Linked DNA regions of Drosophila melanogaster. The protein of the gene in region 4 purifies or fractionates together with the protein of the main gene of each other region. This does not show direct contact. Each region holds a gene or a part of one and is shown on either strand. Other genes may lie near its edges. The genes, in order: Prx6c, capt, Sh3beta and Ntf-2.

The links.
Region 1: the proteins of Ntf-2 (region 4) and Prx6c purify together in Drosophila melanogaster (affinity purification with mass spectrometry, with the first as the bait; one large-scale study listed by BioGRID). This does not show direct contact.
Region 2: the proteins of Ntf-2 (region 4) and capt purify together in Drosophila melanogaster (affinity purification with mass spectrometry, with the first as the bait; one large-scale study listed by BioGRID). This does not show direct contact.
Region 3: the proteins of Ntf-2 (region 4) and Sh3beta purify together in Drosophila melanogaster (affinity purification with mass spectrometry, with the first as the bait; one large-scale study listed by BioGRID). This does not show direct contact.

Annotation. Positions count from the first base shown.
Region 1 is NT_033778.4:10,416,204-10,420,971, reverse strand, and holds Prx6c (peroxiredoxin 6c), read right to left. Parts: upstream 2,255-4,768; 5' UTR 2,168-2,254; coding exon 2,085-2,167; intron 2,023-2,084; coding exon 1,648-2,022; intron 1,585-1,647; coding exon 1,509-1,584; intron 1,446-1,508; coding exon 1,317-1,445; 3' UTR 1,211-1,316; downstream 1-1,210. Other genes in the region: CG11825 (uncharacterized protein), read left to right, coding at 1-271.
Region 2 is NT_033779.5:1,151,178-1,159,646, forward strand, and holds capt (capulet), read right to left. Parts: upstream 5,135-8,469; 5' UTR 4,792-5,134; coding exon 4,569-4,791; intron 3,877-4,568; coding exon 3,375-3,876; intron 3,230-3,374; coding exon 3,105-3,229; intron 2,555-3,104; coding exon 2,209-2,554; intron 2,142-2,208; coding exon 1,594-2,141; intron 1,524-1,593; coding exon 1,000-1,523; intron 939-999; coding exon 855-938; 3' UTR 501-854; downstream 1-500. Other genes in the region: Vps29 (vacuolar protein sorting 29), read left to right, coding at 1-234; Tango14 (transport and golgi organization 14), read left to right, coding at 7,799-8,290.
Region 3 is NT_037436.4:7,363,507-7,371,983, reverse strand, and holds Sh3beta (Sh3beta), read left to right. Parts: upstream 1-2,723; 5' UTR 2,724-3,049; coding exon 3,050-3,094; intron 3,095-3,793; exon of another isoform or gene 3,794-3,912; coding exon of another isoform or gene 3,913-3,921; intron 3,922-3,999; coding exon 4,000-4,425; coding exon of another isoform or gene 4,426-4,431; exon of another isoform or gene 4,432-5,143; intron 5,144-5,467; coding exon 5,468-5,542; intron 5,543-5,773; coding exon 5,774-5,822; intron 5,823-5,875; coding exon 5,876-6,738; 3' UTR 6,739-6,914; intron 6,915-7,019; coding exon of another isoform or gene 7,020-7,124; 3' UTR 7,125-7,400; downstream 7,401-8,477. Other genes in the region: akirin, read right to left, coding at 1-149; Sec63 (secretory 63), read right to left, coding at 7,953-8,131, 8,214-8,477.
Region 4 is NC_004354.4:21,032,784-21,041,830, forward strand, and holds Ntf-2 (nuclear transport factor-2), read left to right. Parts: upstream 1-2,685; 5' UTR 2,686-2,830; coding exon 2,831-2,938; intron 2,939-3,047; exon of another isoform or gene 3,048-3,307; intron 3,308-3,615; coding exon 3,616-3,687; intron 3,688-3,755; coding exon 3,756-3,854; intron 3,855-4,826; coding exon of another isoform or gene 4,827-4,937; exon of another isoform or gene 4,938-5,211; intron 5,212-5,962; coding exon 5,963-6,076; 3' UTR 6,077-6,932; coding exon of another isoform or gene 6,933-7,150; 3' UTR 7,151-7,163; intron 7,164-7,231; 3' UTR 7,232-7,252; coding exon of another isoform or gene 7,253-7,376; 3' UTR 7,377-7,601; coding exon of another isoform or gene 7,602-7,655; 3' UTR 7,656-8,684; downstream 8,685-9,047. Other genes in the region: CG15449 (uncharacterized protein), read right to left, coding at 6,933-7,150, 7,253-7,376, 7,602-7,655.

The DNA.
Region 1 (4,768 bases), on a different chromosome or scaffold from region 4:
AGATGTCGCTCAGGCAAACAAGTTATCCCGAAAAGTGAAGGAGTCCCCCTTTATGCTGGTGGGTATTGCCGGATTCGTGGCCGCAGGTTTGATTGGAGCCTACAAATATCGGAACCGAGGCAGCATGAGCACCAGCGTCTTTCTGATGCAGTTGCGTGTGGCTGCCCAGGGAACCGTCGTTGGATGTTTGACAGCCGGATTGGCGTACACCATGGCCAAGGAGTACCTGCTCCACGAGGAACCGAAAAGCAATACCAGGCCAGACGAATAAATAAGATATAGTAGGATCATCGGCCAAAGACCAAAAATACATACATAAAATGGTGACCGTTAATTAAACTGTAAGTACATCTGTCGAAATTTCTGAATGAACAACTATTAATTTCATTTTCCCAACAGCATCAAATTGCCTACCTCCCCACCACCTTCATCGAATCAGAAATGGTAGAACAAATTATTCTAGAATTTAAGAAAGTTCTGCAAAGTATTAGCCATCAGGTTTAATCTTAGTTAAAATTAGTTAACTATTAAGCGTACACAATAAAGAATGTTTCTACCAAAAAACACTTCACTTACAGTTATGACATTTATGATTCATATTCCGTTGGAGTAATGTTATATTTAAACAAGAGAAACCGCTATAGTCAATTTCCTCGACTATCAGATACTCTTTAATTAGCTAGTGGGAGTGCGAACGAGAAAGTTCAACATATGTATAATAAAATGAATAAATTTCAAAGGCGTTCATGCAGACGGACAGCTCAGCCTCGACTCGGATATTGATCATGATCAAGAATTTATATACTTCATATGGTCGATAAGGCATCATTTTATTTGTTTTATGCTTTTTAAGAAATCCCAGTATATCCTTTTACTCTACGACTAATGGTTTTAAAAACTGATGCATTCCGAATAAGAACACTACGATTTTGATAAAATAAAAAACCAAATAATTTGTCAAAAAAGGTACACCATCTCATTTTCACTATTATTCCATCGTATATATTATACAGTTTTGACTTATTTACCAACTGCAATAGAAATACATCAATAGATTAAAATCACTATACCATCCGCAAGGAAATAAAAAACAGACATTATACAATCTAAAAGAACGTCAAAATCGCAGTAACTCCCCTAATTCTGATTGGATTACATTATTCTCCAAAAATTTCTTTCATTAAATCAATTAAAATAGTTTGGATATTTTGTTAAAATAATTTTTTATTAAATAAATGAACTGCACATAGTATATAGTATATGTCAGGAAATACGGCACATTATTGAATGGATCACAAATGGGGAACGGTTTTGTGTCAGTAGTTGTCAGTGGTGCGGACGTAGTTTACTCCAGACGGCATGGATACCTTATCAAATCCCTTGGGGAAGAGTTTATGAGCCTCTTCATCGGTGACAGTGGGCAGGATCATGACCTTAGTGCCAGGCTGTTTATGAAACAGAATTAATTAGTTCGGAACAGTTCGCATTAAGTGGGTAGAAAAACTTACGGTCCAGTTGGCGGGAGTGGCCACCACCTTGAGGCGATCAGTCAGCTGGAGGGAGTCAATGGTCCTCAGAATCTCGCTGTAAGATTAAAGGATCGTCAGTTGAGATTAACAATAGTTGTAGCCCGAAAGAGGTACTTACTCAACGTTGCGACCAGTGGACATGGGGTAGAACATGGAGAGGCGCACCTTATGGTCCGGACTGATGATGAACAGGGCGCGGATGGTCTTGCCCACCTCGGGATCCTTCTTCTGCTCCTCGTCGAGCATGCCCAGGCTGACGGCCAGGTCGCGAGTAGGGTCGGCGATGATCGGGTAGGGGAAGTCCCCGGGAATGTCCAGGCAATAGCTCTTGATGTCGTTCACCCAGTCCACGTGCGAGTTCAATGCGTCAACGGAATGTGCCAGGCACTTGGTGTTCCGCTTGGCAAACTCCGGCTGGTGCACCGCAATCCTGCCCAGCTCAGTGGTGCAGACGGGAGTAAAGTCGGCGGGGTGAGAGAAGAGCACCACCCAGCTGGCGATCCGAAGAAGAATTGGTAAGATTCGATCAGAGAAAAAGGGTTTGATGGCACTTACGAGTTGCCCTGCCACTCGTGGAATTTAATGGGCCCCTTGGTTGTGTCGGCCTCGAAGTTAGGTACGGTCTGTCCCAAACGCATCTTGCTGTTTGATTATTAGTTTCAAAAAAACTTAGTTGCTCAACTGGTAGCTGCTTTTAGCTCGCACACTTGTTGCTTACTGAATACTGACTGGGAGAGCTGGCTGTCTTTTATACCCAACGTGATCGACGTAAATAGCGGGTGCGATAGAGATAGGAAATGGGCGCTCCCTCAACGCGCGTGTTTGTTTGTAGTATATTATTCTGTGAACAGATTATAAAACAATACTGAACAGATTGTGGAGTAGTTTGCTTTGGTGGGGGGAGTGGGAAACCTTGAGCATGGTGTCATGTGTGTGAAACTCGACAGGGGCCTCTACAAAACGTGGTACATAATTTGGACTTTGAGACGAAATGCTTCTGGAAGTATCTTAGAATAAAGTACTGTTTTCCTTATTTGGTTCTTCATTAATCTCATTTTAAAAGTCCAATAGGCGCAAACTCCTTTAGCATCTAACATCCAAACAGCTGATCTGGTCCAGCTGACAGATAAGCCGGTTCCAAACATAAACAGAGAGCCAGAGAGCATTTAAATGTTAAATGGTATTGGTAAATAGAGGCGAAGCACCAACACCTGCAAACATACAGCCACATCGATAGGCGGATATTGAGAGCAAGAGAGCGCCGAGCAGTGTGATGGTATTTGTGAGTGCCTCCAAAAATCGCACACTTCCATAGATCGCACGGCTCTCCCGTTCACGTACACAAAACGAGCCTCCAATTGAAAGTGAAGAGCGAGTGAAATCATGAGACTGTGTGCGTGGGTCTATCGAATATTAAGCACACCAGCATAGGTTTTTTTTTCAGTAAAACACACAAATAGTTCGAATGGGTTTTGGAAAGTCGGATGGGCAGATCGCTAACTCAGAAGACAGTACCCAAATGGGATTCAGATGGTTGAAATTAAAATAAAAGATATAGTCATCATGGATATTCAAAATGCAGCAAGTGTTAAATTTATTTAGAGGTGGGTTATCTTTAACAAAATTGGATTCACTTCCAATAGCTCGATCGTATTTCCTAAGTTACTAGTACATTCGTAAGAGGGTGCTAGTTATAAGGTCTAATCTAAGAATTCAGAAACCTTCGTCTCTATAATAAACGTTTTGTAGTAATTTTCCATTACTTATCAGTTTTGTGATACCGAAAATAGAATTTGTTTTAATCGTTAAAAATTTAATGACCTACTTATTAATAACAATTAATAAAATTAGTTTAAAAATATTCGATATTTTGTAACCCAGCTTATTTAAGCTCACAAATTATCTTGTTTAAAAAACAACCCTAATAATAAGAACAAAACAATAACAACAATGTAAGAAAATGTGTTTCTTTTTGACTACCTCTCTTAATTAAAACTTATGAGGATTTTCACTTATAGCCGCAAGAATTCAATTTGGCCGCGCATATCGTTGATATTAATCCTTATAAATATGTTACATTTAAAAAAACATCAGAAAGAAACCCGCCGCCAAAAGGATGTATAAAAATATTCGTTTTCGCCTGAAAGTATGCCCCAGCAGACGATTTTGCTTACCAGCTTGATGCATTAACAAAATGGCTTACAAATGTAAGTCAACCAATATTTTGGCTGAGAGTCTCAACTTGAGACTGATATTAGTGTTCCAAAAGCTATTCTATTTTCGCATCGGTGACTGTAGGAAGAGCTTTTGCGCCTGAAAGCTAACGCTTGAAGTCAGCTTCCGAACAGCTGATTTTGATAAGCACCGCAATCGCCCACGCCGCATGTTTTCCTTTCTGCTTTCCTTCTTTGCTTTCGCTTTGCTTTGCTTTTTGGCGCTCCGGCTCAGTTCAAATTTAGCGATGCGCGCGTGCGGTAGCTGAGCGGTCGAAACATAACGGTAAACGGTCCTCGAAACTGTTTTTTGACATATTTGTCTTATCGTATCGCCCCGACTTTGAGCCTAGGGACCGCCGTTCGTAGTAAACTAGCATTCTGACAAAGTGCACACACCTTTTGGCAGGCGGCGAAAACTTTTGTCCGCGAAAACTTTTCCACTTGTGTGTTGTTTGCCCATGCGGTGCGTTCGCGTGTGTTTGCCAACTAATCCAAACATGTGAGGCTACAAACAAATCATCTTTAACACTATCCACCCATTCAAACGGAGCGTTTTCCCAAGTGATCTGATCGCCTCGTAGTAAAAGTTTTCCCTTGACCAGCTCTAATGGTAAATGCAACGATAAAGTTGTTTTCCGAAATTCGGCGAAAAGTTGCCAGCCAACTGTCCTCATAAAATATGCCAAGACATTTACATCGCCCGGCCCAACTGCTTTAAGCCCGCTGGCACCCGTTGGCCATCAAAGTGTTAAAGTGCTATAAAAAACAGGTACGAAAACATACTCCCTCGGTGCCCATTGAATAATGCATTCAATTACGAATGTCGCCAAAATAACTAGAAAAAAAAATAAGCAACAATTTATGCGCACGTGAGGTGTGGGCACAAATGTTATTATTCATATGTACACGCTTTTGTTTACTTTGCCTAATGTTCTCTTTCGGACCGACAATTAATATTTAAAGGTACTCTTGTAATTCATGTTGAATGTAATTAAAGGATTGTTTGGTAGGTAGGTAATGCTT
Region 2 (8,469 bases), on a different chromosome or scaffold from region 4:
CTGGACGTGGACATCCTGATCACGGGGCACACGTACAAGTTCGAGGCCTACGAGCACGGCAACAAATTCTACATCAATCCGGGATCGGCCACGGGTGCCTTCAACCCACTGGACACCAATGTGGTGCCTTCGTTCGTGCTGATGGACATTCAGAGCACCACGGTGGTCACGTACGTGTACCAACTGATCGGCGACGAGGTCAAAGTGGAGCGCATCGAGTACAAGAAGATCTAGGGTCCTAGTATTAGCCACCAGCCATTCCCCTCCAATCCAACCCTTGACCCCTGCATTCTGAGCTCGGCTTCATTAAAGAAATTGTAAATGTACGTAGCAATAAATCAAGTTCTCATTTTTTTATCTGATAAAAAATGCTAGCACCTTGTTTAAATAGAGAATAAAAGTACGAACGGACGAAAGTGAAGTTTTAGATTTAATGCAATAATAAACGATTACAAAGTAAGGAAAAACACCCCCAGAAATTGTGATACTCCCACAATAATCTGATAAAAAAGTTTAAATTTTATTAAATAGAATATAAAAAGGAGTTACATCTGATGATCGAGTAAAGAGTCTGCTCAAAAGTTCGGATTTCATGCTCAGTTTCTCATTGCAACACACTCTCGATATAAATACATTGGGTTCGGTTTGTGGCCATCGCTTTTCCATCGAAATAAATTATATAAATACTTTCCACGAGCCAGGACAGCAATGTTTGGCAACATCATCAATACGAAATGTTTGATCTAAAAATCTTTGAATTACGAAAACTTTGCACTTAGATTAAATACAATTATGATTGCTGCTGACGACAGTTGGAAAAGCAACGAACAGGATCCCCGAGGAGGAGAACCGCCTTAGCCGAGGCTGTCCACGCACACAGTCTTCAGGGTCTTGCCGGCAATCGTGGTCTTATACTGCTCCGGTAAAGCCAACTCGGTCTGGAAATCACAAAAAAAATAAATAAATGACTGAAGACAAGAGACAAATTTTTGAACTCACATAATCGCCGCTGTCGTCGGGCAACAGGATGTTCATCTCCGAGGACTTGGAGTTGACGATCTCCACGCCCAGCGAGTCCTTGGACAGATACATCTGGCAGCCGTCGGTCTTGTCGATCGATACCGTCGGCACCGAGCCGAGCACCTGCATCTGCACGCTCTGGCAGTTGACGAACTCCACGGAGGCCACCACGGAATCGAACAGCAGGGAGCACTTCTTGCAGGAGTCGAAGACGATGTTGTTCACCTTGCCCTTGACGGTCAGAGTGGATCCCTCACACTTGAACACATACACCACGTTGTTCATCTCGGCGTTCTCCACCAACAGCCCGGTGTTGTTCTTCTGGTACTCGATGATCCACTTCTTTCCGTCGCGCTCGAAAACGGGCGCCTTGGCTTGCGCAGCTGATGGAGCAGCAACGGCCTTGCTGCCGCCCGACTGGGCTGGCGATTTGAACGGAGCCGGTCCAGTGCGTAGAGATGGATTTTTATGGGTCTGCATGTCGCCAGTGACCTTCTTCAAGCCTGCGGGTTTATCAAAAGATACATTTTCTTACTATAGGAGCACTTAACCATTTTTGCAGTTGCTGCTCACCCTTGGTGATGTCGGCACCCTGGTTGATCTGGGCGAAGAGGGCGCTGCGATCATCTCCGGCGCTATCCAGCTTGAGGGCACTCAGATCCAGCATGGGCGGCGGTGGGGGCAGACCACCGGGTGGCGGTGGTGGCGGGGCACCTCCGGCGGGGGCCGCTCCCTTGCCGGACCACACCAAGCCCGTGGTGTGGTACTGCCGGATGTAGGCCTGCAGTTCGGTGAGCGTCTGCACCCAGGCGCGGGCCCACTCCACATGCGTAACATCCTTCTCCTTCCACTCCTTGAGCACGCGGTTCGTGTAGAACTGGCCGGCGTCGTTCATCTCCTTGACATAGGGACCCGGGGTCTTCTCCACGCACACCCAGCCCAAGGCGGGAATGCTTTCGCTGATGGCCGACAGGTGGTTGAAGAAGGGCGAGGAGCGGTGCTTCTCGCGGAAGTCCTGGATGGCGCTGATCTGCGTCGAGGTCGGCTTCAGAAGCTCCGCCTGCTTGGGCTGCGCCGGCTGGGCGATCTGGGTGGCCAGCGTCACGTACTGCAGTTGGGAGCTGTTGCGGAATTGAACGATGGCATTATTACACTTTTACCATAGATGACTCATCCAGACTGACTCACCCAAAGGCGCTCTTCACGAGCTCCGCATGCTGCGCCACATCGCCGCCAATTTTGGCGGAGAGAGTTAGGTATTGGCTCAGCGGACCCGCCACAATGTCCTCGAATCCGGCGACACTCATGTTGCTGCTGGGCGGCGAGGGAGGTGGAGGTGGTGTCTCTGCTTTTTCAAAAACTGGAAGAGCTTCTTCTTCTTCGGCTGGCGGAGGCGGGAGTGTGGGCGTGGGCAGTTCTATCGGCTGTGGCGCTGTTAGAGTCCGTTCCAATCGGTCGACGAGGGTCTCCAGTCGCTCGCAAATGCTCTCCAAGTGGTCGACGGCGGCCGAGGGCTTGGCTTCCGGCTCGTTATCTGAACCAAAATGACGCGGAGGAGAACGGCAAATGTTTAGTTCGTTTTGGCAATTATCTCGAATTATTCAAATAACACTGAGTTTTATAAAGAAAATAACTTGAGTGAGATGATGCTTCAGCGTGATAAACCCCAGTGAATCGTGCACTCACAATACCTGACAAAAAAGGCGATATAAACTAAGGCGTCTCGAGAGGAATACCTCATCACGAGCTTGTGTATGATGATGAACTGGTGCGCTTAATACTTATAAAGTTCAATATGCAAAAAGAGCTAATCCCAACGAGTGAAAGTAATAATCCACATGCAAAAACGGCACAAGACAACGAAAAATCATAAGAGAGAAGAACTAAGTTGAACCTTTAAACGGAAGCACTTGACTTGCGAACTTATTGGCCATCAGGAAGTTACGTGAATCGCTAGACTCTCAAAACTTCTTCACAGCGAAAACGAACACATAAAGAACACAGAAAGTCAAGCATCCGCTTAAATAACTGCTGAGATCGAAAAAAAAAAGCAAAAGAATCGGACTCTATCGAAGCTCGCATACCCCGCACGGCCACGCTATGCTCCACAGCCGCATGGGCGGCCCGCAGGAGCTCCGTGTAGAGACGCTGGCGCTTCAGCTCCAGCTCGTCGCGTCCCACCGGCGTGACCGGGGGCTCGATGCAGCCGCTGGACATGGAACGAGGACAGAGGAGACGATGTACTGGCAATTCAAAGCGGGGCTGGGAATGCAGGGGTCGACCTGTTCTGGTTTCAGCTTAACTATATGGATATTTTGGGCGTGAAACCAAAACAGGATCTTGGGTAAGCATACATGTCGTTCAGGCGCTCGTCGTCGAACCACGAGGGTAATCCGTGGGCAAAGAAGAGTGTTTCCGAGACGACATCCCCCTCGATGTAGGGTGCACACATGCTCTCCCGCTTGGGTGGCGGCAGTGAGTCGGAGAACACCTCGTCGTCGTCCAGCAAGGAGCCCTGATTCTGGCTGGCCAGCAGGAGCAGTGGCAGTGGATCCGGCTCGATGATCTCCGCCCGGTTGCTGATATTCACCTTCTTCTTGATCGACTGATGCGTTGAGTTGTGCCTGGACAGGCAGCTCTTGGTGGGCGGCGGCTGAGGAGGCGGTGTGGTCGGCGTGACCGTCGCCACCACCACCACTTCGTCCGCCTCCTCCGCGTCGCCGCTGGTCATCGAAGCAGGTGGTGCCGTGGATGTGGAAGAGTGCGTTGAGCGGGCCAGTGGCTCCGGTTCTTTGGGTGCTAGTGCTGGATTTGCTGGTGATGATTTGCTAGCCGCTTCAGCCTGAGTTGGTTGGGCTGTGGAAGTGTTGCTTAAGATTACTCTACATGAAGCGACGAATTACCAAGACGATCATCAAGGAAAGCGCCGATACTTAAGTTGATTACTTCACTTCACTCTCTGCTCACCTCGCTTCCTGTCTTCATTATGTTTATTTATCGCATTTAAAAGCATTTACCATGGTCACTGGCAGATTGAGTAGTTAGTTTTTACTGCTCACCTTATTATTATAGAATCTATAGAATCTTGAATTTTCTGTCTAAATTATTGACCTTCATTTTAGTTTCTATATTCGTCACTACTATATACTATACGTTCACTTTGATGGATGAGCACGATCTAAGTGCTCAACAAAAAGTGTGTATGCAATGTCATTAGCTATTCCTCATTAATCAACTGAGAATCGGCGCAATTCCTTGATATTCATATGTATAAAATTCACAGAAATAAACCGAAGAGAAAGCACAGTGAAGACAACTCATAAGTAAATAGAAAAGGACACTCAAGGCAGCTTGAAGTGCCCGGATTGAAATGAAAGGAAAGATCAGAAGTGGTGGTCAGCTGCAGTGGCATTGCAGTGAGTGAGAGCCGGCCGGATAGGGGCCTTCGTTCCGGAGAGCAGACAAAAGCCGAGACAGCTGTTGAGCTCGAAGGCCGGAGAACGCGAATAGATGGGGTGGTGGGTAAATACTTAGCGTTGCGTCAGTACCAGTGTTTGGCTGGGTGCTTGTGGGCACATCCTCGGGATTATGCGCTTCCAAGAGCTCCTTTTCTGGTTTCACAGGCTCTGGCTCCTCCTTCGGAGTTCCTGGCTTGCCGTTCAGCTGGGGTTCCTCCTTTTCGGTGACCTGTCCGCCGTTCTCCTCCTCTGCGTTCCGCTTTTCCTTCTCCTTCTTGCCCGCCTTGGGGTTCGATCGGCAGCAGGAGAACATTTTGCAGGCGTGTGGCTGGGCTTTTCCGGTGCTCAACACTCTAGGTACGAATCAAGCACATTATGTAAGTTCCGTGGCTCGACTGCGGATGCCCGTGAAGCTCAAGCGGCGGTCACAACACTGACGGCACACCAAACCAAATCGAATCAGTAGAAGCAGTAACAGCAGCAGCCATATAAGACACTCAACGGGTTTCCAACGAACGTGGCCACTCCTTGCTCACTGTGTACATATATTCAGTGTATGGCCCAAATTTAGTGGCACATTAATAAGGTCCTCCGAGTTGTCCGCGCCTTCAACTGGGTCAAGTGACTGCCGACCAAGCACAGAACCAAATGGCACACAAATGCGATTACACACGGAGAACAGAACACACCCTAAACGAAGCGCACGCCCACGCACTCGGGGATTCGATTCGATTTCGAACTCGAACTCGAAGGTCTCAACAGGACTCTGTTAGGAGAGCTCCGCGCTGTTAACTGCTGAGTTTCGCCGCCTTGTTGGGCTACTCCGCGCTGCTTTTGACCATTTGGGGCCAGCCACCGACTGGCAATGAAATGTGTTTCATTAATAACCGCTTTTGGCCTGACATGCAGGATTTTGTGCAAGCTCCGGCGATGTCTTGCACTTTTGCAGCAGAGAAAGCTTACGGTCCAGGCGGAAAATGGAAAACTCTCCGAGAGAGTTGCGCAGACACCACTGTGATTTCGTGATACCCTTCTCGCCACGGGTGGCGCGACTTAAGTGAGGGAAAACCACGGCGATCCCATAGTTTTATCAGCCCTGTAAGGCAGGGTTCGCCTATCAATTAGTTGTGACAACACCGAGTTATCTTTACTATTTGGAAAGTTTCCAGGAATGATCGGTAATGAAACTATGATTCCATTTTGAGCATTACCATAACGTTTGTAAGCCATAGAGAGTAGAGAGATGCAATGATCATATCTTAGCCGGCTATAAAAACAGTTTTAAAATGTTCAGCTTTTTGTGAAGTAATCTGCCGCAGAAGAGTATAAAAACGTCGACGTAACTGAAACTCCCATATCGTTTGCTTGCCAGTTTTTGTTTTGGCCTTAGTGCAATGGGTTTATTGCACCGGCAACGTTGTTTTTGTTTTTAAGTAGCTTTAAACAAATGGCTGGCAATTAGAGTGGGAAATGCATCAGTAGCCGTTGGATTGGAGGGAGGGGCTAAGCCGCCGAGGACAAGTAAGCCGAGATTCAACTTTCGCCTGGCGATACTAGTTCTCCTTGCAGTCTTGATGCGTTTTCTGCGGCAGATGCGTTTGTTGCGTGCAGAAAGCAAAGAAGAAATGGGGAAGAAAAACTAGAAACCAAGATTAAATGTCTGCAGCTGAGGAACCGTTATTCCCGCTGCGAGAGTGTGAGTGAGCTCGAATTACCAGGGGTGGGGGGTGTTCGTAATGGTAGAAGAAAAATCGCCCACCTTATAAGGCGAGGTGTTATTTTCTTCCACCGAAATCGAGTGAGTGGTAATATCTGCCGATTTTCAATCGCGATTCGCTGATAAAAGCGTTTTGGCCAACTTTTTGACTCATTCGCGCACGAATACAAGCAAACGTGTTTGCTCTTGCGTAAACTACATACATGCATACATACATATGCATATCAACTATGTGTCTGTGAGTCAGCGAAACAAAAACAAAAAATGGCCACAACAGCTGAGTAGTTACTTTTTTTTATCGGGGGTTAACAATCGCAATGGGAGCTGCTAAGGGTTAATTTGCATACACTTGCTGGCAATGAATTAGTTGTGTCTTTATGCCATGGAATCGGATATGAAATCATCGTTAAAAATACACCATGTAGATTTAATTTTACAAGCAACATGAATCACACAAAAATAGCCATCACACAGCTGTCTCTTGTCTTTTTGGCTCTCTTCGCTGTTGTTGTTGTTGTGTGTGTACAAACACCCACAGCCTGCATCACACACACACGCTCAAATTCGTGACAGCACCACCCACCCCTCACCAATAACCGTTAATTCCGCAGACACTTTCAGCCGGCGAACGGGAGAAGAGAATTTGCGAATAATAGCAAAGCCCCGTTTAAATGAACGTTTTTAGCAACAATCAGGCGTTACTCACCTTCTTTTGCTGCTGATGAATTTGCAAGGATCTGCAGTTGTATTCCAATTAGAACTGACGAGAAGCTGCGTAGCGAACACCGGCGAAATGGCGAAAATAATAACTTGGCGTGGCCTTTGGTGGGACCAGGCGTACATTCGTGGAAATAGTCAAGCGAGTTAACCCTTATGTGGGTGGCAGAATACTAAAAATATATGATACAACAAATTTTAGACTTAAGAAAACGGATGTTTAAATGTATAAAATATGATGGAAGTGCAATAGCCAAGCTTATAAACTAATTCTTAAATTATTTGCAATGCATTTAGGACTTTTCGATATACACGTAAATAAACTATATTTTGATTGAACACGGTACATTTCTACTAGAGTTCACCTTCAGATATTGACGCTATTTCTTGTCCTGTAAATTATTTTGTTAAATCGTTCACATTGTATGTCTAATAAAGATGTTTTCCAATAAAATGTTATTCCCTTTTCACTTAGTCTAACATATTCATTAAATAATCAATGTTTTATTTTTTATTTAGTTATTTTAATTAGTTCTTAATTATAAAACTGCTCTAGATTCTCGATATTTTGCGGAATCCGGCGCATGGTCACACTGACGAACACGTATTTTCATTATTCTTGCGAAGCGCATCGCTTAAAACTTGATTACGCTCGGATAACAAGATGCACCCGCGTCTCAAGTGACTGAACAGGTAGCGAAGTGACCCTGGATGAGCGTGGGTAGGCAGCCGGCACCTCTGGAAAGCCCTAATCCCAGGTCCGCCAGCCGTTTGCAGGTTATGTCCGCTTGTGTACACTGTGACGGGGAACCGAAGAAGCAACAGGAGCGGATTCCTGGCAGAAGAGACAACCGCTGTACGAGATACCGCCCCTGACCTGCGCAACATGATCGAGGTGCTGTGCCTGCTGCTGGGCAGGATCCTGCTGCTCCTGGTCGGCGGCTACGAACTGATGTGGCGGCTCCGAGAGCGACTGAATGCACTGGCCGTCCGGTCATATGACCTTTGGCGCAGCAAAGCGGCACGTGAGGCGCACGAGCGGCGCGTGCTCGCTGACTGCCGCTCCCAGTTGACGAAGACGCCGCAGCATCTGGTCCTGGTTATCTCCCCCGTAGATGCCGGCGTGGATGCGGTGCTCCTCAGCAGGATCTTCGACTTTGCCCTGGACGTGGGCATCAAACACGTCAGCCTGTACGACAGGCGGACGAAAGGCAGGGGATACGTGGACATGGCCGATCTCTGTCGATCCACCAACGCGGACACGGGCAGCTGCTTAAAGTGGCCACCCGTAGCCAGTCCCAGCAAACTGGAGAACCAGCCCAAAAACGGACAAAAGACAAATGGTTATGTGAACGGTTCACATTCCCCTCAACTGCAGGTGAGTGGCGGCGTCTGATAAGCCGTGATTAGTAATGGACTTTAGAACGATGTCGGAAAATGTCTTACAAGTATTACACTTTTTGTTTCAATTGTTAAATAAAAGAAGTAATGAGCTGGAGATTTAATTTAGTTCATCATTCACATGAGATACAAAAAATTCTTCGTGCTGAGAACCAG
Region 3 (8,477 bases), on a different chromosome or scaffold from region 4:
CCAGCCGAGGTGCTGGGACCGTCGCGGGATGGCGACGCTGGACCTGCATTGCTCCCAGCCTGGCCAAAGGGATTGCAACGCCGGCGCTTCGGAGGCCGCTGGTTCATCGACTCCCAGTCTAGGGCTCGTTTCAGGGTTGCACAGGCCATCGCTATGATTGAGGTTCTACTACCCGGTGGTCTTCTGATAGATAGATGGCTTGCTTGATTGTCGGTAGATGCTGATTATTGCCTCGATTCCAAATGATGGATGCTGCAGATGGAAGATCAAGCGTCGGCTGCAATGGGCAAACAAACAATGAATGAGTAAGGTGAAGTGAACACCTTGCTGGCAAAGAAAAGACGGACGCAAACTGGTTTCAAGGAAAAAACAGGATTCACAGGCGTGCACTCACGCACACGCAGCCGATAAAAGAAAATGGTGCAGCGATTTATGGCCGCCAATGCTGGCAATTTGGACTTTTTCTCGCCTTGTATGTATCGTGGGCAACAATTGTACGCTCTCTTATCTTATCGCTTATGGGGCGTGATTTTGGAAATAATTTGAGGCTTCAACGCTACAAAACAAGGGCCTTTGCTTAAAAAGAGCGCCGAAAATAGGAAGGTACAAAAATTTTTAGTAAATACTTTTCGCTAGTCAAAGTTGCTAGCAATGCATAATTTGAAAAGCTATTATCCGATATTTTCCCCAGAAAGCTATTAAAAATAGAAATGCCAGTAAAAAACTTTTAAATGCGAAGTTCGCGTAAGTTTAATGACTTTGATGACGTCCGTTTTACCTAAATAATCATGACAAGAGAGGAAAAAAAATTCAAGACAACAAAAAAATGTTTTTTTTCCCCCATTTCGTCACGATTAAATTATATTGTTCAATAAAATTAGTAAGCAATTAAACATATTGTTATATTCTTATATTCATAGCTTTTTCTAGAATAGAATGACAAAACCATTTTAAAAACCTAATTTTTATGAGACTATTATAGTTTCCACGACAATTAAAAGGATGTTGGCTTCCTTGGGGTTTCTAGCTTCTTTCGGCTATCGCCGACAGCTCCGATACCGTGCACCCAGCTGCTGTTGTCGCAGGAAAAGGGCGATACCGAATCGGAATACGAATCCAGAAACTCCGAAGAGAAGGAGAAACCAGCCAAAGAAAGCGACGAAACGAAGTGGCGCAGCGCAATTAAAGGACGACCGACAATGAAAATAAAAAAAACCACCACGCAAAGGCAAAATGCATAGCAATGCAGAGGGAAAATAAAGAAAACAGAGAAAAGTGTAAACTGTAACCCAATAGCAGAACAACCACCGATAAAAGAAAACTACGCAGGATAATAATGCGTGTTCTTCTCACTCTTCCCCTTTCTTTCTTTTCTTCTTCTTCGTCGCTGCAGCGGCAGCTGTACCAGCTGTTTTCCGCACTAACACACGCACACTGCCCTCTCGATAAACCGCAACACGTGTGTATGCGTCTGCTGCTGGTGTTGCTGTCTCTGCCCACAATTATTAAATATTTAAAGCCATATACAAAACGTTTTTGGGTTTAACGTTATACTCTTTTACGTGACAAATGCCAGAGATTAGTTTAAAAAAAAGCAAACGAAATGGCAGCAGCCAAAGCGATCACACTGGTTGTCCCACTCTAGCCTGCACACGCACGCACACAAAGAAACGCACACGCACACCGTTGTGAGTTGGAATGTTGATTTCATGAAATTTTAAAAATGGTCGCATCGCATATCATTATCAGCTTTTCAGAGGAACAAAAAGTTAAACAGCTTTTCCAACAATCGCACTTACATTAATGCGTATTTTGATTTTTCCTTCCGACTGCTTTTTTGCTTTCTGCACCACTTCACACGCGCTTTATTTACTTTTTTATTGTGCCACTAGTCCGCTGGCACATACCCACTTACATTCACGTCCGTACTTCAGTTTGGGTGATTAATTTAGGTTTTCGGTTAGATATAAGTAATGTTATTGCTTGCTGGTTGTTTGAGCAGTATTCCAAAGGCCACTGAAATGCACTGTCAATAGTTGTTCGTCCTCGGCGACTCGCTAGATATAATTTACAAATTTTCGTCTCGCTTCTTAGCAAAAATGGACGACGATGCTTGCGTGACGGGACGTGAACAGAGTGACCGCATGGCGACCGCTAATATTGGTTGCCCTGCTAACGGATCTATACCAAAAAATACTTTATGGTTCTACCAAATATAGCAAAAACTTCAAATAACCGAAAAGTCTGGGGAGAACATTTTTCAATTGCATATTCTATGTACTTTCTTGAGTCCTATAACCTTAAGTCGTTTGTAGAAAGTTAGCATTATTGCATTTTTATTTTTATGGAATTCAACTCCAAGTAACAAAAAATTAATAAATAAAAAACACCCTCATGTTCTAAATTCCACCGTTCCTTGAAGCCGCTAACTCATCGACGCCAAATTAAAAATAATTTGTTCTATAATAAGAATCCTTTTCTTCTATCTTTTAAAAAACCTTAAAAAGCCTATCTTATGCTTTTTATAAATTATTATTTTATTATTACGATTATTAATCGAAGAACGTTTAAAAAATGAAAACCTTACATGGGAGCATAATAAAATTTAAGTTGTCTTAAAAATATTTAATTTTGAAATATCACTTAAGTTCAAAGTTTTTAGTATTTTAATCAAGCATCATATTTAGTATATTTGATAAGCCGGAAGGTTTTCTATAGCCGTCAATGCGCGGTCCCACCATTCAATTCAACGACAAAGTAGGAAATATTTTCCACTCCTGATATCAAATATTTTTGCACTTTTATAAGCGTCGCCAGGCAATTTTTTTATCCGCGTCTTTGCCGTTTTTACAGCCAATAAAACCAACGACCTTGCCCAGTGCGTGTGCCTTCGTCACCAGTGGAAAAACATTACGTAGGGGCGCAGGACGGAAGAAAGCAGGAAAAGAAAAGATCTATAAATATTTTTAATCGCCGTGAAAGTAGCCAGCAGATTTTAGTTGCAAAATATTATTTCATTTGCGGTGCGAGGACACAGTAATCTGCGAAAATGGTCTTGAAAGTCTACGTCAGCGGCATGTCCGGCAATAAGGAGGTGAGTTTGTGGGCGTGGCGGGCTTAAAACCGAAATAGTGTCATGTTATTGGAATGTTTGGCCCTGGTATTAGCGACAAACAGATAAAAAGGAAAAGAAGCAAACTAAAGTGGTGACGAACGCATTGCAAATTCTATTTCTTCTGCTGCGTTTCGTCTTTGTGTGTATGTACGTGAGTTGGACAATGATGATGATGTAGTGTGTGGTATGTAAGTCTGTATGTCTGTACAGTCAAAGAAAAACAAGTGGGTATTTTCGTGAGTGCCCTTGTGTGCGAGTGTTAGTGGTGGCAAGAAGCAGAACAAACATACATTTCATTGCCCATATAAGCTCATTCCACTGTGAACTGTAAATTGTTCATGGAAGAGAGGGATTTCCATTGATCGCAGTTGCGTGGGTGCGTGTGCATGTGTGTGTGTGTGTACATGCGTGAGGGGTGATTCACTTCCCCCTCTCACTCTTTCGGTGCCTTTGTTCAATTGGCAATCTTCCTCTTCCAATAAGAACAAAAACATAACGGTCATTGTACGGTTCACAATTATTTGTTTTTGTCCTGTCTTTGTACACTTTAAAAAAGCGTTGGGAAACACATATTCTTATCGTAAGATAAATGCTGGGGTGCAACAAACCATTTTAATTAGCCTTATCATATCGCGTGGTTCTGGCGTTCTTTTTACGTACATATGTTTATATCGGCGGGGAGTTGGCTTTGTGTGCGCTTGTGTGCGTTTGGGCTTGCCGGTAACACTTCATTAGCGATTTGTCATCGCTGTAATTAACAGCGTTGTCAAAGGTAGCTACACTGAACAAAACGATACATGTTAAAGGTATTTTATATACTTTAATTTTTAACTTTCTTTTCAAATTTAAATGCTTTCACTGACCGTCGAAATCCAATTTTACAGGTGAAGAAGCGCCAGCAGCGCGTTCTGATGATCCTGGACAGCAAGAACATCAAGTACGACACGGTGGACATCACGGAGCCCGGCAAGGAATCCGAGAAGGAGCTGATGCAAAACAAATCGACAAGCAACGGTGGAACGGTCAGCGATCCAGAGCCCCGTCATCCGCTTCCTCCGCAGCTGTTCAACGACGACGAGTACTGCGGTGATTACGACGCCTTTGACATGGCCAACGAGATCGATACCCTGGAGGTGTTCCTCAAGCTGGCTCCAGCCGACACCACGGCAGTTAGTACCGCCCAAATCGAACTGAAGCAGGAGAACGGCGATGCCAAGAAGGAGGAGGCGGAAACGGAGGCGGAGGATAAGAAAACGGAGGCCGGCGATGGCGATGTGGATGTCAAGGAGGAGGCTGCTGAGAAGGCCGAGGTTTGAACTTGAGCTATTTTCACGTATTTTCCGTTAACTGTTACGACGCAACAAACGCAGCCAGCAATCATCTGCAGCAGAGCAATAGAATTAACAACAACAGCAATGTCTTGAAACTAAAGCCCTTACACTTAACAGCAGAAATAACACCCAATGTTTACCTAACAGCACAGATACTACCAACTTTCTACATACATATATCAATATTTTATGGAGCCCGTCTTCGATTTCTATGCCCATAGGGATTTGGGGGAGTTGTATAGATAATTGCAGAATATGAAGTGCAATCTTCCTTTTAAATTATACAAAATTTACAAAACTAACTTTTAAAACTACGAGATTTATTTAGAGACTTTTTAGACCTTCATCGGTAGAGCATGAAATCGAAGATCTTTCAATTTTTAACGAATTCATTATGACTACTGCGGTTCTTAAGCTAAGTTCATGAGCGTATTTAAACGAGGGCATTCGATTGTGTTGGCCCCCGGTGAAAAGACAATTTTAATCAAAATATTTATATTCATTAACTGACATCCAAACAACTTGTATGTACCATTTATACACACCTGTAATAAGGACTCGGAATACTTACTCGGAGCACTTAAGCCTAAGTTGGAGTAGTGTAGAGAGCTGAAATTTATTGTGCAGCCGTTATGTTAATGCTAAAACATAAAAAAGCGCTGCCCCTGTAATAAAAGGAAATATATTTGTATTAACTAAAAAAAAAAACTATAACCAATCGCAAGCTTGTTTTTCTAACACTATGCAACACACTCAAACTCTAACACCAACTTATCAACGGCTAGTTTAACAATGAGAATGTGACAACTTAATTTACAAAAAGGCTTTTTTAATACCAAATATCTATAGAGAGATTTTCCAAAGTTGGTCTTTAGGTTTGACGAAAAAAACTTTTCACGAAAAGTACAGGAATATGGTGAATTTCAATATTCTTGAGCAATTTTGTTGCCTTAAAGACCGACTTTTTCGAAACAGTTTCGTAATGTAAAAACATTACTAACAATTGAGTGATTCTCTAAAGAACGAAGACGGCAAGGACAAGGAGAATTCAAAGGGCGAGGATGAAGACGCAGATGAAGAGAATGCCGAGCAAAAGGTAATAGATCGATAGATCCTGCATGACCGAACCATAACTCTAGGCTTTTAGAGCTTATAGGAGCTAACAAAGGCATGATCTCTTGCACTGTAGTAGCCTAGCGATTGTCTGATCTTGTAAATACAACTTCCACTTTACCCCCCCCCCCCCCAAAAAAAAAAAAAAAACGAAAAACCACCAATCAACAACCCACAAAACATTCGCACCCCTAATCCCACCACCCACAAAAAGACTGAAACCGAAGAATCTGGGGACAAGAAAACGGAGGAGAAAACTACAGGTAAAGTAGGAAGATCGTCCCTAGACTCTAATCAAAATTTCTACCCCGTAAAGACGCTGAAGGTGAGACCCAAGAAAAGTCTGAGGAAGTGGATACCAAGGAAAAATCAGAGGTTGAGAGTACCAAAGATGATGAGGTTGGAAAATCCGAGGATGTTAAAGATGATGAGGATGAAAAATCCGAGATTGTAAAAGATGATAAGGAAAACTCCCAGGATGTTAAGGATGATAAAACTGAAAAATCCGAGGATGTTAAAGATAAATTAGAGGGAAGTGAGGAGACCGCAGAAACATCGGAGGATGCTGACACTACTGAGAAACCAGATGTTGAGGCCACCAATGATGATGGGGATACAAAATCGGAGAAAAACGAGACGCAAGAAAAGTCCGAGGAAGTTGATGCCGTTGAAGAATCAGAGGCCGAAAGCTCCAAGGAAAAAACGGAGGAAAATGACACCAAAGGCACCAAAGTCAATGAGAATGATAAAGACGAGGATGTTGAAGAAAAGACCGAGGAAAATGCAACAGAAGAGTCCGCGGACTCGGATAGTGCTACCAAATCAGAGGTTAAAAGTACCGAAGATGATGAGGTTGTAGAATCGGAGGATGTGAAAGATGAATTCGAAGAAAATGAGACCAACAAAAAGGTCGAGGAAGTTGGTAGTACTGAAATATCCGAGGTTGTAAGTACGGAAAACGAAAAATTTGAAGATATTAAAGAAAATCCTAATGAAAATGAGGCTCAAGAAAAGCCCGAAGAAGTTATGACTGCCGAAAGATCTGTAGAGGAAACCAAAGAGGAAGAACCAATCGACGAGGAAAAACCTGCAGAAACGAAGACAGAAGACACGCCCGAAAATGAAGAAAGCAAACCGGATGGCGAGAATTCCTCTTCCGAAGAAAGCGAAGAAGAGTAAAAGAAAATCGATTGAACGACAACAAAAAACGCACTGACATCCGCATCACAAACACCAATGCACAAAACGCACACATACACACACACGCACATAAAAAAACGCACATTTAGCCAAATAATACCAAAAATGTTTTGTAAATAGAAACAAGAACCCACTAATAACGAGTCTGGTGACGGGTAATGAACCCTAGTTTAGGCCTTTATGTGACTTATTTACAATTTTTACTCCTTTCCCAAAACAAACAACAAAAAACTCGCTGCTGTCTACAACAACAATGAAAGAAGTTACCAGCGACCACAACAACAACAGCAGCATCAGCTAAGAAGACTTCAGATTCCCAATCGGATCTCTTATTGGACAGCGAGCGGGCAGCGGCTGCGCAGTAGGCGTCGACGTCAGCGCAGACAGAGGCAGCGCCAACTTTGATTTAAATTATTTTTATGATTTCCACAAACTATTCGGGCTTGTTGCAATTCTCACTTGTTTTTGCTGATTTATTATTTTATGTGTCGATACTCTAACAATGATACAACCGTTTTTTATTTATTACAAAATTAATTTACTTTTGCGCTAAAATATATTCAAATTCTAAAAGCTGTAAGCAATTAGTTTATCCAAAGGCTTAGCAAAAATGTAATAAAAAAAAAAACTTAAAAATTGCTAAGGTTTAGGCGTGGTCAATAACTTGAATGGTTTAAATTAAAGTAATTGTGATGCTATTTATTTAATTGAATAAAATGTTAATCTAGAAATTCAGCAAATTGTGCAGTAAATTTATGTTAATTCAGCATTAAAGTGAGCGAAAGTAGCAACAAGCCCGTGGGTTTTTCTTTCTCAGTTTATAACACAACAAAAGAGTAGTAATATCAATAGACTTTTGTATTTACGTGTCTCACTTTTAGTTCTTGTATCCAAATAATTAAATATACAGTACATTATAATTATGTTTAGTACAGTACACGGTAAAATGAAGTTATAGTTATTTACGCACTAGTTCGGGGTCTTTTCCATTACAAAACTAGTAAAAATGCGAAGGAAGGGTTCGCATTGGTGTGCCTCCGCCACGCGCCACGCGAAACTCATTTACTAAAAGGAAAACAAAGAGGCTTCTCTTCCGTCCCAGTGAATTAGAGAGGAGGTTGAGGTTGATTGGGGTTCAGGACGTCTATCCATCCGTCCGTCCGTCCGTCGCACTGTCCATGTAGACAGTGGATTTATTCGCCGTCCTCCTCATCGGACGTATCTGTTGTATAGTCGCTCAGGTTCTCCTGCTGATCGGTGTGCTCCGGTTCCGATTCGCTCAGATCCCACTGAGGATGATCCGTCGGTGGTGCGGGAGCCTTCTGTACATCCAACTTCAGCTCCTGCTGCTGATCCATACCCAAATACGAGTCTGAAACAGAGGAAACATTGTGTGAGAATCCCCCCTTCGAATGCCAATGTACTATGCAATCCAAACTCTTTTAGAAACTCACCCGATCTCAGGCAAACGGTGAACGTGTAGACGCCCGGCCAGCGCGGCGCGGTAAACTTCAGCTGGATCTCCTCCTTCTCGACCAGATTGGTCACATGATAGGGCGCTGTGAGCAGGGTGCGCGACTTGCGATCGCATATGTAGGTCCACCAGTACTCCTGCTTCTCCTCGGGGAAGTAGGGGCAGTGGACGGTGTGCGACAGCCGAGACTTGCCCTCGAGACGCTCCCTCTTGTTAAGCTTAGCTTGCAGTCGCTCCCACTCCT
Region 4 (9,047 bases):
GGCAAACGAGTAAGAATTTCAAAACAATATAAAAATATATATGATATTAATTTATTGGAATTGTAATTTATTCAAATAAAATTAAAAGTGTGGAAGCGGAGACAATTCAGGTCTTATTCGTAGAGTGAAAGAATTAAATTTAATTGTAAGTTGCAAAGCGAATGCTTAGCAAACCCTTGACTGAAATTTACTTCTTTATGTGTTAAGCTAAAGAGGGCTCCTCTTATGTATTTCTATGAATTGAGTGGATCGTGCATGGATGCTGGGATAAGCCAAGGATTTGAGCTTCGTAAGCGGTTTTGACCCTTTGGTGGGAGTCGTGAATGCGGCTGCGGATGTTTATGTCTGGTGGATTGGGTGCCCTCTTGAGTGGATCGCGCATGGGTACTGATCAGCCGAGAACTTCAGCTGCGTTAGCGGTTTTGACCCTTTGGTGGGAATAGCGAATTCGGCAGCGGATGTTAATGTTTACATTAGGGCAGGCTGGATTTTTTATTGTCACCAGAATTGGGGTTCTTATGGGATACTTGAATTTATGACTTATATCCTAAGGCATTCTATGATTTGGTTTATGCAAAGACACTAGAATAACAAGATGCGTAACGCCATACGATTTTTTGGCACACGATTTTTTGGCCGTGGCTCTAGAGGTGGCTCCAGGCTCTCTCGAATTTTTGTTAGAGAGCGAGAGAGCGGAGAGCGCTACAGCGAATAGCAGACAACTGTATGTGTGCACACGTATGTTCATGCATTGTAAATTTGACAAAATATGCCCTTCACCTCAGAAGTTCTTAGACTTTAAATCTATATTATTTTTGATCAATTGGCACCATGCGAAAAAATCTTGTTTTGCATTGCAAATCCTGATCGTCCTCGCGAAGCAATGCTTCACGGCCATACCGCGGGGGGTCCTGGATTTGCCCTCCTTACTTTTACATTGTTAATCTGTTAATCTTAATCTTAAATGTTCAATAGACGAATTAAAAAAAAAAAAACCTAATCCTGTGTAATCAGAGCACTGGGGACGCGCGCGAGTAGCCGGGCGAATCGAGTTAACGCTCCTGGAAAACCCGAAAATTTTCCGTGTCGCGGCAGCTAAATAGAGACAGGAGTGACTGTCTCTAACACACAGTAATAGTGTAAAAATCACGGAGCAGACCAATAGCCAACCCCTCCGCTTATGAGTCCCCCGTCGGAACTTCACCCTTCACACCCAACCCTTAAGTCCATGACGCTGCGCTTGCTCTCTTGACCAGCCGGGCAGCAGCATAATAAAAACCCATTTTGCGTCTGAGCCAAGGTGGCCGGCGGAATGGTTTGTGTCTGAGCCTCATCGGCCAGCACCGTAACCATCACCTGGCGAATGGTATAGGGCCGCACACCTTGCAGTCCAAGGTTCTAAGGACCCCACCCTATAAGCCAAACGATGGCACCCCCAAGGGGCCATTATAAGTGACCTCCCCCCCAAACAGAGCCCAACCAGCAAGGCCCCCTTTTCTAGAAATCGAGGAGATGGGAGATATATTATACAACGGGGTGAGGAGCATTAATCTGGCAATGAAGAACACATTTGCCAGATTGAAGGATCTCCAACTAAAGCTGCGCGTGAGGCTGCCGGAGGAGGAGAATTCGCATGCCAAATGCACCGCAAGAACTGATGCTAGCCAACAGACCATCCCTAATGGCCTCTTTAGCTATGAAGAACCGAGTAAGGGCAAAGACGGTGTCAAACCAAAGATCGCACGGTGATGTCCAACGCCCTGCACTCCAAGGAGCTGAAGTTGGCGTTGCCGACTCGACCAGCAAGACGGTAATAATGCTGCTCAAAGGTGCCTTGAAACGTGCGACACATACTGAATATGCCATCCAACTGTTTTTCTGTTTTTTATTTTTGTTCTTAGCTAAATGTAATATGTCAAATAAACGAATTTAAAAAAAACCTAATCCTGCGAACCAAACATAGGTGTGTGTTGTGATGGAGGCAACTCCTGCGCAGGCGCGCGATGTCCGTAAATGTGGTGAGCATTGCCACGAATTGTGCGCGCCAAACGCAAATTTTCCTGCTGCGATGCATACGCACTGCCGGTGTGACCAGATCGGTCACTCTTATCGATATCGTTACCAATCCAGCTTACTAGCTTTAATAAATTCTATAAACTTGTATATCGAAAATAAAATTATTATTAATATTATATTAATATCATTTCAAATGGCAATGAATATTTAATTTTAGTAATAAATTGGGGTGGATATATGCTTTTCCGAATGTGAAGAAAACATCATCCTTTCAATATCTGGTTTATCCCTCCCGTCTGAAAATTGTGAAAATACAAGCGATTCCACATTATGAATAAACGGATCTAAAAATCAACTTTAGATACCTTACAATGGATTGTAAGTTGCGTTAGCTTAAGTATGACCTGCAATTAAACAACAAATCAAAGAAAAGTCGTCCCGAGCGAGGAAAAAAAATAATATATGAAACACAAATAATTGTTTTCCAAATGACCAAGTATTACGCCTGACAGAAATGCAATAATTTGTTCTTACATTTATGTGACCCTATCATCATCGAATCATATTTCAAATTCCAATTCCGATTTCGTTATTAGGACATCGGGCTGTAGCCCTGGGTATCGTAATCGATAGTTGCGAAATAGCAGTCAGCGATAGTGTCTGACAAAATCGACGTTGTTCCACCCCTAACAAAGAGTGGTGATCTGAGCGCAGTCGGTTGATTTCATTTGGTTTTTTTTTTAATTATTCGTGTCGCCGCGATCGGATCGGATTTCCCATAATCTCTGAGCGTTCCGCCTATCCTTCAAGTGAAATGTCGCTGAATCCGCAGTACGAGGACATTGGCAAGGGATTTGTGCAGCAGTACTATGCGATATTCGATGACCCGGCGAATCGGGCGAACGTGGTTAATTTCTATAGCGTAAGTGTTGTTGCTTCCCGCTTCTGCTCGTCGCCTTTCATCTCTCCTTTATTCCCGTCTCCGCTTTCGCCTGCACATTTTTCGCTTGCCATCCCCATCACACGCACAGGTGACGCGCGGCGCGCCCTTGAAAAATTCCGCCTCCTTTCAGCAGAAAATGAATAAAGAAACTGTTGCAATGCGAAAAAGAGCGCGAAAAAGAGCAGCTGGAGATATACGGTCGGCGTATCCGTGATATCGTGGGAATAGGATGAATGTTGATAGGGGCGGGGGCAGCGTTCGATTCTCGAAGTTTCGGGTGACACATTACGCCCATGCTCGCATAAATAAATACACACATACGAAATATATGGCCAACATACAACTGCGGTTAGCACAATAGGGCCCAATATACGATATAAATTCGTGAAAAAATTGTATTAATATCTTGAAAAATATGGCATAATTGTGTTTCATTAGTTTCAATCAATTCAGTTTTTTTGTCACATAAAAGAGTAAATGAAAGAATAAAAAAGTCTATAATGATAAAGTATTGAAAATAAAACTATCTGTTTGATATGTTTTTAATTTAAATATTAACAGTTTTATAACCAATTTTGTTCTTAATAATACGAAATATCATTACTAAGTAAAACATCATCATAACACTTATATCATTATATATTTTATACTTCCAGGCTACCGACTCATTCATGACCTTTGAAGGCCACCAAATACAGGGGGCACCCAAGATTCTGGAAAAAGTTCAGGTAAGTCCTGATTATATACAGTCATGGGCATATGTATAATATTTTGCATACCCTTCCTATTCCTGCAGAGTCTGAGCTTTCAGAAGATTACCAGAGTGATAACCACAGTGGACTCGCAGCCAACTTTCGATGGCGGAGTTCTGATCAACGTCCTTGGAAGACTACAGGTAAAACCAGAATTCTCAACAAGAAAACTGTCCTAAACTCGCTGTCGGGGGGAAATTCAATGACTGCCTGCGGCGGCGGTTAGAATATTAGCACTGCCGACCAATTCAATCGATTTTCTTTTCAAGTTTTGAATTTTATTTTTGGTCTTTTCAACACGTAAATGCTTGACAATCGTTTTTGTAACAAATAGAACGTTTTGTTTTGGCTTTCACATAAGAACATTATTTATTTTGCACTGTTTCCCATTTATTTGTTATCATGTATGGGCTTTATTAAGCCTGCCACTTTATTCCATTAAGTGTTCTTCATTCTAAGATACATTATACCCGTTACTAGTGCAGTTAAAGAGTATACTATATTCGTTAAAAAGTATGTAACATGTAGAAGCAATCGTTTTCGACAAAATGTAGTATATATATTCTTGATCAGGATCAATAGCCGAGTCGATCTGGCCCTCTCCATATGAACGTCGAGATCTCAGGAACTATAAAAGCTAGAAGGTTGATATTAAGCAGACCGATCCTAGAGACACCGACGCAGCGCAAGTTTGTTGATCCATGTTGCCACGCCCACTCATATTGTTCAATATGAAATTTCGCGTTCTCACTTCCAGTCGGAAAAGTCGACCATAGCATTCTCTCTTGTTTTGAATATAATATCCATTGACTTATTGATGCAGTTATAGTAGGTAGATAAATGAAATGAATTTTAAAAAGAGTAACTGCCTCAATGTATTTTACGATACCTTATTGTTCAAAGTGGATATATGTAGAGACGTAGAAGCAAATTTCAATCGCCCATCACTTAAGATATGAAATCATTCATCATTCTTCCGTAAAGTCGTAAGGGCAGTGCTATTTGCCGACCGCCGCTGCATCTATTATTCCATATAAGTCACCTGAATCTGAATCGAATATCTCAATTCTGGTTATTACAAAACGAAACACAAATGCCAAAACAAACCAATGCAGACCGACGAGGATCAGCCGCATGCCTATATTCAGACCTTCGTATTGAAGCCGGTGGGCGGCAGTTTCTTTGTGCAGCACGATATATTCCGACTCTCGCTGCACGATGTGTAGCACCAGCGAGCCCGACCTGCCACGCCCAGTCCACAGACTCCAGCGCCCGGCTATATGTGTGTAAATCGAGATCGAGATCAGCAGCCAAACGATCAGCCAGCAGACACGAGACGAGAGCCAGTTAAAAAACGAAAGAAATCCATATCTAAGCGATAAGATAGTTCTGCTGCTTGTCGACCTTATGCCGCCCAGCCATGCCCACTCCGCCCACATATACAAAAATATTTATCCTTGGCGTCTCGTCGTCGTCCAATTTCTTCTAATTATTCTCACAGTACGTGAATGTCCAACGAAAATTAATCAAATCAAAATGTTGCGCATTTCATTTCGTGCATGGTTTTCGTTGATTTTGAGTTGGATTTGCTCTTTCTTTCGGTTGGTCGCTGGGGACCTGGAACCTCCTAATAATGCAATTTTAATGTAACACAAACAATTTCTGTAACCTCTATTGCTTTACATTTTTAACTAAACGGTTTATATTTATATTATATTTTTAGATGCTTTCAATTGATATTGCACTTATAAAAATTCTGTTTTTCATTTGTTACAAAACCAAATACCAATTGACTAGTCTTAACTTGCATATTGTTTTGTTCAATAGCTCGAAGAAGAGAACTGTAAATATCCCAAATTGTTAAGCGCACCCTAATATGCCTTAAAAAAAAAACTTTCAAATGTTGTTCAATTTTGAATGGAACTGAGGAAAGTTTTGAGAAGTTCTTATATCAGTGAATAATAATTTTGCTCGCACATTTGGTATAAAGTTTATTCTGCTCGTGAAAATGTTTTGGAGTTATGTTCAATTTATCGAGCGAGCCCTGTACAGTAAACACGCACCTTACACGATCAATCGGCTGCCAGTTGTACACCCTTTCCCTCTGACCCTGGCTTCAAACTGTGTGTACTCCATTCATATCTAACTCAATACGTTGAAATTGGTTTTTCGCACGCTTGTGTTATTGACTTTAAATGTGACTGGTTTGCCTGGCATCTGCTAACGTATTTATGATTTCATTCCTTTGCAGTGCGATGACGATCCCCCACATGCCTTCTCGCAGGTCTTTTTCCTGAAGGCCAACGCAGGCACCTTCTTTGTGGCCCACGACATCTTCCGTCTCAACATCCACAACTCTGCCTAGGAGCACTCCACTTACCTACGTATGCACACCACTCAGCACCACACATAATCGACATCCAAAGATGCCCAGCGCCAGATGATAACAACAAGCTCGGCAGTGGAACTCAGAAAAAAAAAATATAACAAAGCCAGCCAGCGGTCTCACGATTATCAGCAAATACAAAAGTTAGAAAAAGAAAAAAAAAAAAAAAACAATAAAAAAATAAGAAAATAACGCTAACTACTATTACGATGTCAACAAAATGGGCCGCCAGCTCACCTTCATTTGTGTCCCATTGTTGCCGGTACTCTCGCTTTACGATCCACGGAACCCTAGAATTATATGTTCTGCGAACACCTGGATCTCGCGATCTAATTTAGCTAGGACTATCGAATTTGGTGGTATGTGCCGTGCTACAAGCTCGTATTTCGAATTCCCGTGAAATGAGCAGGAACAGCAGGCCGGGATCATCGCCTACATAAGTTTAGAGTGATTTTCTAGACCGTTTATATTTCCAATTGAATTATTTGTACTTTAATTATGAGGATTATTTTAGATAGCCGTATTGCAAATGTATTGTGTCGAGTGTCTCGCTCTGTAAACAATTACTTGAGTACCGGGACTGCACCACACACAGTCGCAAGTATCGACTCTTGCTTTCTCATATGACTAATTGAGCGATGGCGAATTACTTTTTATTGAGAGAAAAAAAAAACACTTAAATATAAAGATAAACGTTAACAGTTTGGTTGTTTGTATGATTGGCGGAATGGCCAGTTGAACCGGAAAGATATGTATACCCTTATAAGCTATTAAATGCATACGAAAGAAGCTCCAGCGGATCTGGCCAGTGGTTTCCGTCTAAAAACTGAACGATTCACTTGTCGCGAAATGTGAACACCGCATCGAATCCGAATAGCACCCCATTGACGATGGACAGCGAGGCCTTGATGAGCGCGAGATCCCGAGTTCGGGTGCGGAAGGAGAACTCCCAGGCCTCAATGATGAACACACCGCTGGCCACGAACAAGGTGCAGCCCAGGACGCTGAAGAATATATCGATGCGCTTGTGAATGGGTGCCCGCATCAGAACGCCTGCAATTGCAAGGTATCTTAAGTAGATTTGTGTGCAAATTTCGTTTTTGGTTAACTTATTTTAGTATTTTAACTCTTAAGGACTGGCATTCCAAGGCGTACCTGCAAAGACCCCGATGACCACTATGATGTAGCCCGTGAAGGTGCCAGTGGCCAGGAACGAAGTCATTATATCGCGATCGTTGAAGCTGTAGAAGTGGAGCACCAGACACGCTACCGCAAAACCCTGGAAAAGTGAGGGGATTTTCATTTGTGGTGCTTCTTGGTGTTCTTATAATTTCCGAGTCTATCTGGTATTTCGGGTCTTTTCTTTTAATTCCCAAGTCGTTTTTTTTTTTTTTTTTTTTTTTTTTGACAAACCATTGTTTAGTAAGCATACGCGTTGCTTTTTGCATTAATTCATTAATCCTTAGAACTTGCAGTAAAATCACTTGAAAAAAAAATCCTTTACCAGTTCGAGAAACTTGACCACATTGAGGCGGCCTTTTCGCTCGCCATGAGACATTTTGTGAAACTGCTGCCGCTGACAGTCCTCGAAAATGTGGTCCAGCTTGAAAATGTACGTGTCGCAACTCAAGAAAGTTCCAAAGTTCTTCCGATTGGCCTCTTTGGAGCGTGCTCGCGACGGCAGAGCGCTGGACAAACTGATTCTGATTCGGAAATGGATGACGGATGGCAGGCAAATGCGGCTGCAGTTTGCAGTTGGGCGCAGTCGGGCCCAGCCAGCGAAATTAATTAATTACACTTAGGAAATAGGCTTTTCATTCTTGTTCCCATCCCTGTGTATCCGCCCACGTCCACCACGTCCGCCGGGCCTCTCGGTTCCATCTCTGAAGTGGAGACCGTCTGCGTTCTCCGCTGCCAGCTGCACTCGAGCCCCATCCCTTCCAGCTTGATTGAGTGGAGCATAATGTCTGTATCTGCATGCATGCTCTGTGCCGGTGGGTGGCCAGTGGACAGTGGGCAGCCGCCCAATGGACTCGGACTCATTGTGCTCGCATTGCCATTACCCCAAATTTGCTGCCTAACCTTCGGGGCCCAAGATCGGAGCTAATTCGCGGAATCGGGGCCAACGGGTCGCCAATTTTCCGATGGTAATCAAGTGGATAATGGAAAACATATCGCCGGGGAAATCACTTCCTCAAATCATGAATAATCTTATGGACTTCATGGGAATTATTAGGTTGTAAGGTTGTGTTGCAACGCTTTTCAGATATAAAAGTGGATTTGTAATGCATGGAATATATTTTTTAATATATTACAAGTACTGTACTTTTTAAGTGCAATTAAAAGCTTAGAGCAACATAAAAAGTAAGCCGAATTTTATATACCCTTCACCTATAGTAACTTAGCTACCACTAGCTTGGACGACTACAGTCGTCCTGTTTTAATAAAATGTATTTTATTTCTATTTATTTTTCCTGTATTTTTTACGAACGTTAAACTGCAAATCCCATTCCGCTCGCTCCTAGTTCAGCTAAATTATATAGTTTATATAAAATTAGATTAGTAATTACATTTCCGACCCGGCCTGTTATTGCCTTATCTAATACCTGCAATAGGTTTAATAGTTTAAGTAAATACGATTACGTGGAAATAAACAGACACGGTAAGATTTAGTTGGGTGTCAATTCTGACTAAAAATATATATCTAAGTAATATATACTTTGTTCCTGACTAAAACAATAACACTTCCTGTGTTCTATGGTCAATTTGAAAACATGCAAAATAAGTTGTTACAGCTGAACAAATCTATTTTTAATTTTTAAATTAGTTCTCTATAGAGTGTTTATGCCACATGTTGAACCTATTTATCTTAACTTAACATCAACTGCTTTATTAATTTCAAAACCTAACCATTAAAATAAATATATGTTTTTAGAATAATTTCGGCTGG